2 linked regions of the Rattus norvegicus genome follow. The protein of the gene in region 2 purifies or fractionates together with the protein of the main gene of each other region. This does not show direct contact. Links are inferred from orthologs where the notes say so. Each region holds a gene or a part of one and is shown on either strand. Other genes may lie near its edges.

Region 1 (4,039 bases), on a different chromosome or scaffold from region 2:
CCACTGAGCTAAATCCCCAGCCCTATGTTTGACTCTTAAAGCCACTCGAATGGGATTGCCATTATAAGGCACCAGTTTATACACAAGAGAATTTCCCTTAAAATTTGTTTAAAACATAGTGGAACCTAGAAGTTATCAACCCTCCTAATGCTGCGACTCTTTATCATAGTTCCGCGTTTTGTGGTGCCCACCAACCACAGCATTCTTTCGTTGCTGCTTCATAATTCTTTGCTACTGTTATGAATTATAATGTTTATATTTGTGTTTTCTGATGGTCTTAGGTGACCCGTGTGAAAGGGTCATTTGACTCTCTAAGGATTCATACAACCCACAGGTTGAGAACCACTGATCTTAGCTCCTGAAATATTATTCTCGATGTCTCAGTTTTACTAAGTATATGTGAGTACTCCTCTCTCTTTCCTTTATCTGGCCTATTGACCCACGTGCTTATTAAATGCTTCCTGGAGGTTGGGAAGAGCATGGCTCAGAAGGGGAGGTCCTCACATGTTTCCAGACCCAGGTTACATCTCTCCACATCTTAGGGTCTAATTTATTGAATATATTTTTGTGCTTTTTTTGTTTTTAATGACTACACCCTAAGCCTTTTAAAGTTATGATGTAAGAATAATAAGCAATAAAGTTTTGGTAACAGCTCCCCTTAATCCCCACAAAAAAAAAAAAACCCACGAACATTTGAATGTTGAAGATGGGTGTGGTGGTACACACGTTTAATCCCAAATTCTGGAGTCATAGGTAGGCAGATCATTATGACTCTGAGGCCAGCCAGCTCTACATAGCATGTTCCAGGGAACGATACATAGTGAGACCTCGAGTCATAAAACCAAAACAAACAAACAGACAGACAAGCAAACAAACAAATAAAAATAAAATGGAAAAGTCTTCTAAGCTAAGAGATTTAAAGTACAAAACTCAAGGTAGGTTTTCAAATAGGCTAAAGAGTAGCAACAAAGTATGGGTAAATTTTAGATACAATTCACCATTTTTATTAGATTTCTAATCCTCCTCAAATAGGAATTTTAATAATTTCCCCTATCTTCTTTCCCTTTCCCTCACCAACCTCTCTTCTCTCTCCTGTCCTTCACTCCCTTTCTCTTCTCTCCCTTTCTTTCCTATGGGGCTACAAGCAGCTACAATTTAGAGCTTGGTACAAGAAAACTACAATTCCCAGCTTGCAATGCCGAGGCTGCAATGCATCCTGGGAAGGAAGTGTCACGCTACTGTTTTGGCTTCGTGTTGGTCTGAGTAGAGACCGCGCAGATTTTGTCCGGATCATGCGGAACTCATTTTGCGTTAGAGACGCTGTAGCCGGCGGGATTAAAGGACAGTTCCACTTCCGGTAGCACCGGAAGCAATTTTAAGATGGCAACTTCTGTAGACACGCCTGCCAAAGAAGCTCGAAAAAGTGACTCTCGGCAGCAGAAACAGAAGCGTGAGAACCAAGGTGAGGTAGTGCGGGAACCGAAACCTGGAGCTGGGGGACTTCGAAGCATCGCTTTTCCTTCTTTGGCTGCGCGCTTGGGTTAAGCCTCCTTTAGACTGTTCAGTGCCTGCAGGAGCAATTCCCGATGACTAGGGGGGGTGTTGACTGCGCCGGCCACGTGTTCTAACTCTGTTTTTGCCAGGGACTGTCCCTGTTAAGAGTAGCTGAAGTGCCTTCTGGCTCCGGTAAAAGCACCAGGAATCAGAAATTGTGGAAGGCGCGGCCGTACTTTGTTGAGCTATGGGGAGGGAAAGTTGAGAGGATGCGGATCGGGATCAGGTGGGCAAGATAATCCTCTTGTGCGGTGAGCGTTGAGGGTGAAGAGTGAGTGAGGCGGACAGAGAAAGGTGGGGAGGGAGGTAAATGGGAAGTTTTGTCAGAACTTTTATCTGATTAGTAAATTGCTAGATGGCGCAGCTCAGTCTTTAGTTTTGACCGGTAGTTTGATTTTTGCTGCCCTAGTTTGGTTGCTTTCTTGAATTATGGTGATAGTTTTGTTTTTAATCTACCTTCAATATGAAAATGTTTTTGTAACTGTTGCATTTAAAAACTGAGTACGGTAAGTACGGCAAGTACGTAAAATAGACGCCGGTTAAAGCTCAAACCAACGTTTGAGGAATTGACAAGTTTCCAATGTGCCAATCACAGATAATAGCGTCTTTTCTGGTACCCCGAATAATTCATCGAATTTACCTATCTACCGCCGTGATGATTTTTAACGTGACGCTTCGATTTTTGCCTTTGAATCACAGGAGAACGAAAGGAGCTTCCATGCATGCTGTGTCTTTTAGCTTCTCTGGTTATTTAACCAAGGTGATGTTTGTAGGTGTGATGCTGTGTAATATTTAAATTCCCCCGTTGGTGGACATTTGAGCTCTGCCTTGAGCTTGCTCTTGTAAGCACCTTTGCGAATGTCTTCTGGTAATGCCCAAGCGTTTCTTTAGGAACAAAGGGTTAGACACTGAATTGCAGGGTATCTTCAAGTTATGCTAATGCTACTGGAAGGAGCTGTGCCGGGTTTTTGTCTTTGTTTTAGGAAAGGTTTGTTTAGGTTCGCAGTGTGAGGGCAAAGTCAACCATGGTGGGGAAGCTGGGCCAGTGCAACTCCCTAATAGATGAAATTTCTCATTGTTCCAAATTTACAGTGATTTTTTTAATTTCACTTTTGAAAATGGGTAGTTTGGTAGATAAGAAATTTTATCTGATTGTGTTTATAATTGGGTTTCACCAGTGGCTGATGGAGTTGCACAGCTTCACATGTTTTGGGGCTATTAGTGCTTCCGGGGTTGTGAATGTGGCTTTTATTTCTTTTGCCTGTTTCAGTGATTTTGTAGGGGTCTCCTTTCCCTTTTACGGATTGACAGCACTGTTTAACTTGGATCAGTACACACTCAGAATACAATTCATGTTCCCGGTTTTTATAGGATATTAGTTTGCATTCTTAAAATGAAGGTATTGAAGAATGAATGGTTTATGAGGACCCATTGTCAGGAGTTTGAACCAGGAGTCGCAGAGTGGATGTGAGTGGAAGTAAAAAGCACATTTTCTTAAGTGGGGCTGATAGCATGGGCCAAGGGCCTTGCCTTTCAGACCTCAGTGGTTTACCGAGGACAGAATGAGATTCTTTAAGCACAGATCTCTGGGAAGGAGCCCCAGATGGCATACCCCACAGACTTCCATAGGTGTGCAGATGCTACAAGATCACGGATGGTTGCTTCTCTTTGGGTCTAGTTAATGTGTAGCTATTGGATTTGAGGGATTTGTAAAGACCTGGGACAGAGAGTTTGGAGAAGTGGCTCAGGCTCTCCAGAGGTGATCTCATATAGTTGTCAGGATTCTAGGCCATTTCAGTGTCTGTCCCTCTAGCACATCAGTCCTTTCGGTTTTAATATTTTCTCCTATAAAGTGGAAATAGAAACAGTGCCTTTTCTTTTACTGTTGAAAGGTGTGCAGAAAGCTCTTTAGAAAACCTAAAATTCTATCACAGTGGTTGTTAATTGACATGGTACACCAGAATCCACTTTTAAGAATTTTACACATACACACAGTCATGTGGGGGTGGGTCTCTATACCAGGAAAAGTCAGAAAGGTTACTAATAATAAGGGATAAAGGTGGTAATAGGGTGTTTGAACCACATTATAGTGCAGTGAAGGTGACTTAGTAATTGTTATCTACTAATGCATTCCAGTTACAGTGGATACAAGGAAGTGTCCTTTTTCTCAAAGAACTGTTCTGATTAGGCAACCACCGTGTATTCAGGTGGTCCTATTACAGCATGATGGTGATAGTGGTGATGGTGGTGATGGTGGTTGTGGTTGTGGTGATGGTGATGGTGATGATGATGATGATAGAGCCATGGTCCTGATGCTGAAAAATTTAAAACTCAGGGAAACGGATACAGTACATTGGAAATGTTATGAAGATGTGCACAGAATGTGCACCGTGTGTGTGGAGGCCATTGACATGTGATGTGTAAATTCTTTCTTCTGTAGATGAGGGAGAGCTCCTCACTGTACCTGATGGTTGGAAGGAACCAG
Region 2 (4,256 bases):
CAGCCCCGGTGGTACACACCTTTAGTCTCAGTCTCAGTGCTTGCGAGGCAGAAGCAGGTGGATCTTTATGAGTTCAAGGCCAGTTTGGTCCCACATAATAAGTCCCAGGACAGCCAGGGCTACATAGATCCTGAGATCCTGTCTCAATAATAATAATAATAATAATAATAATAATAATAATAATAATAATAATACAGCAATATAAAACCAGTCTGTGACCTATCTGATTTCATTATGATGTAAAACAACGATTTGTTTTGTTTTCTACCATGTAAAATAGATGGAGATTCCGTTTTACAAGCAGCTTTTGACTCCATTTTGAGGGAGGCAGTTAAGTGCACTCCTCAGTGGACCCAAACTACGATCTGCTTGGCACCACTCACCAGCACAGATTGATAAACGACTTATTTCTGAGAACAGAAAAGATGCTATCTCATAAATTTATTGAGAGTGAATTGAGGCTGTAAGGGCAGATGAGTGTATTAAAGTCTTATCAGGGAAAACGAGCCCAAAAGCTTATCAGACACTGCAGACCAAGGAGAGGGTCTAACTCCCTCATCCATACCCCATAAAGTGGCTAACATGAAGATGAAGATGGCCTCCACACTGGCCTCAAATGCATCATGACAATCCTCCTGCCTCAGCCCTCAGAGTGACATAGTTACAGACATGCACTACATTCTACCTTTTTATTGTTTGGGGTTTTGTTTGTTTTGTGGGTTTGTTTTGTTTCGTTGAGAGATGATCTATTCTTGGAGCGGAGGTTTGTCTTGAACTCCTGGTCAGCTTGTGTCCTCCAGAGTATTTTGACCACAGCCTTAACTATCTTTTTTTTGAACAAAGTTTCTTTTTTCGAATGTGCATTTCTCTAACCTTAATCTCGCAAATTTTGGAACCGCAAGTATGAGCCATCTTGCTCGGTTCCTAATAAGCATTTTTGCTTATTAGCCCAGGCTGGCCTCAAGCTCCTAATCTTATGGCCTCCCCCTCCCATGTATTGAAATGAAGAGCCTGTACCATTATGTCTGCTTTAACAAACTCCTAAGTAAAACACTTCTAGAATGTGGGCCTTAGGTACTCTTCCAAAGAAACGGGAGAAATTTTTCCACACGGAACAAAAGGAAATGAGAAGTGTACCTCAGTGGCTCACCGTGAGCAAAGATGCGAGCCCTGAGCTAAGAACTGTTCGGAAGGAAGCGGCCTGGACGTAGTGAGCAACCTGCACCATTTCTCCAATTCACTGGACTCATCTTAAAGAGCCAGAGGTACCAAAACGAGCCTTGGGGCCCCGCCCCTTCGGGTTCCGCCCCCTCAGGGCTCCGCCCCAGCGGGATCTGCAGAGCCCAAACTTCGCGAGAGTTGCTGGCCGGGTCACATCCCCGCCCACCCACTGCTTGAGGTAGCGGGCCGCATGCGCAGCTCTTCAACGGCGCGGCTTGCAGAAAAGATGGAGTGTCCTGTGCCCGATTTTACGGAGGCTGCGGACCCTGGTGGAGCCGGACCTTACAAGAGCTCCGAGGAGCCGGAGGGTCGGGAACCGGACGGAGTGCGCTTCGACCGCGAGAGGGCGCGCCGCCTGTGGGAAGCTGTGTCCGGTGCACAGCCGGCGGGGAGGGAGGAAGGTGAGTCGGGGGCTCCGGGGTTCGCGGCTGGACTGAGGCGGGATGGCCTGCCTTCTGTCACTCCCCTTGGCGCCGGCCAGCCTCTCCCCGACGTTCCGGAGCTCCGAGCTCGCTCTCGTGAAGGGTGCAGGGCCTCGTAACTCGCTGCCCTGCGGAATTTTTCCGTCCTCCTTTCGAGGGCGTTCACTTGAGAACAGTTCCCCCAGATTCTAGGTCTTGTCCTCTTGGAGATCGAACCAGGACCGTCCCAGCCTGACTCGTAGCCGAGCTAGCTACCGTTCCCCTCTGTGCTTAATTCCATAACCCCACATTGCTTCTCTTCCCTTTCAAAGCCCTACGGTTCTGACCGATCCGAATAGCTTCATTTAGTTTACTTTTTATATTTTCATTTATTTTGTGACACCTCTCACTGCCCAACTCGTGGTGGATCAGCCTCGGAGTGACAGGACAAGTGTGAGCTTTGGAAGGTCTTCCTGAATCCCAGCTTCCTCCCGGGCTTGGTGACTGTGCCCTGACTTGCCATGGTTCTTCCTAGGTAGACCTGGCTGGCCTTGAACTTGCTTGCATGAGTCTCCTGCCTCAGTCTCCTTAGTGTGGGCATTCCTGGCTTGCACCACTATGTCCTTCGATACAGTATTTGTATGTCTGTTGCCAACATCTTATTCCACAGAGGAGGCCCAGGAGCGGGGAAAACTTGCCTCTGGCTGCTTCATCTCACGCGGTATGCAGAGCTGTAGAAGACAGTGTATTCACTTGGAGTGCACTTCTGGGCAGAAACTTGGCAGATTTCTTTGTTTGACCCAAAACTGGGTGGGTAACAAGGGAGCTAAAGGAGTGCAGAGCAAGCTGACCTCTTTCTCTGGCTCTCCAGAGACCTTTCCAACTACTTACTACTAACCCAAATGTACAGGAACTGTATCTGGGGTTTTGTGCTAACCTATCAGATCTCTGCAGAGAAACAGGAATTCTGTACTGGTTATTTTGATTGCTGAGCAGGCTAATTTTGGGAAGTTTATTGTGTTTGTGAACTGCTTGCCCTGGATAAAATAGGATTTTTTTTTTACCATATTCAAGGGAGATATGTTTAAATTTTTTTTAAAGAATGTTTTTATTTTATGTGACAATTGTTTCGCCTGCATGTATGTGTATATGAATGCCAGGTACCCAAGGGTATCAGAGAAGGTACCATAAACCCTGAAACTGGAGTTAACATTATATGCTTTGACTGGGTGTTGAGAACTGAACCCTGGTTCTCTGGAAAAGCAGTAAATGCTCTTAACCACTGAGCGCATCTCTCTGACACCAAGATACGTTGGATTTAAGTGTGTATATACATCTCCAATCTGTTCATTCTGGCTCCTAAATAAATGTATATGTCGTTTCTGAGTCTCTTCTTTAGTATTTTAAGCATTTTTTGAGCCAGGTGTGGTAGCACATGCATGTCATTTTCAGCACTCAGGTGGTGGAGACAGGATCAGGAGTTCAAGCCAGCTTCAGTTAAATACCAAGTTTGAATCTGGCAGTGCTGGTACAGGCCTTTAATCCCAGCACTTAAGAGGCAGAGTCCAGTATATAAGAAATACTCAAGTTAATAAAAAAAAAAAAAAAAAAGAGGCAGAGTCCAGTGAGTCTCTTAATTCGAGGGCAGCCTGGTGTGCAGAGCCAGACCCAGGACAGCCAGGGCTCCACAGAGAAACTCTGTTTCAGGGAGAAAAAACAAAAACAAAAAACAAGTTTGAGGGTAGCCTGGGCTATACAAGACTCTTGCCTCAAAAAGATTGTAGTACACAGTTGCCTCCTTAACCCAGATTTCCTTTCATTAGTTTGACATTCCCTAATGACTGCCCTGTTCCCAGGGCCAGCTGGACTTCAGAGCCTGAGGGATGAAGATACTGTTCTTACTCTGGAGTAGCTTACAGTCAGTCCAGGAGACAAACACCAAACACTTATGTAACATTAATTTTTTTCAAATCTTATTTTTAATGCTTTAACCTCCCTTGTAGCCCACCACCCACCAGAGGTAGTGGAAAAGAAAGGATACAGGGAAGTGGACCTGTGTAGAAAAGGTTCTCTGGAACACCTCCTGTCTGTGTTGTCTGGAAACCGGCAGTTCATAGGCTAGCAGTGACATCTCGATCCACTCACAAACACTTCTAGTCGGTACAGTCTAGTTCGGTACAGTCAGGTTAGCAACAGCAATGACATGACCTAGCAGAGATAGCCAGACCTCAGGCTCAGCTCAAGTCAGCAGGAAGAACCAGCAGGAGAAGTTCTCAGCTGTTCCTCTCTCAGAGGAGCGAAGATCAGCAAAGACACACAAGCATTGCACAGCTAGCTATACCAGCAAGCCAAGCTCTGTCTCTGTCACTCCATGGAGTCCTATTTATACCCTCCAAACACCACACGTCTTCCACTGTGCCCTGCCTCAGCACGTGCATCCCGTCAGCCTGAGTCCCAGGGAGTCCTGACAAATGCAGCTCAACTACACAGACCAGTACATATTTGTTGTTAGCAAAGAATTCGTCATTACATGCCCTTTCAGGTGCTTGCCTTGGCAGAACAGCCTCTCTCCTGTGTCTGCTTCAGTGAAACGTTCCTTCAGGAGTCTGCCTTAGTCTTTGACCTGTGTCCACT

What was found. Proteins that work in one complex are often made in the same cells at the same time.
Region 1: the proteins of Zfp346 (region 2) and Krr1 purify together in Homo sapiens (affinity purification with mass spectrometry; 3 studies listed by BioGRID and IntAct, with this or other methods). This does not show direct contact. The link is inferred for Rattus norvegicus from reciprocal best matches to the Homo sapiens genes ZNF346 and KRR1.

Annotation. Positions count from the first base shown.
Region 1 is NC_086025.1:49,360,557-49,364,595, forward strand, and holds the start of Krr1 (KRR1 small subunit processome component homolog), read left to right. Parts: upstream 1-1,237; 5' UTR 1,238-1,380; coding exon 1,381-1,462; intron 1,463-1,629; exon of another isoform or gene 1,630-1,780; intron 1,781-3,994; coding exon 3,995-4,039. UniProt on the Homo sapiens protein: Part of the small subunit (SSU) processome, first precursor of the small eukaryotic ribosomal subunit.
Region 2 is NC_086035.1:9,525,942-9,530,197, reverse strand, and holds the start of Zfp346 (zinc finger protein 346), read left to right. Parts: upstream 1-1,447; coding exon 1,448-1,622; intron 1,623-4,256.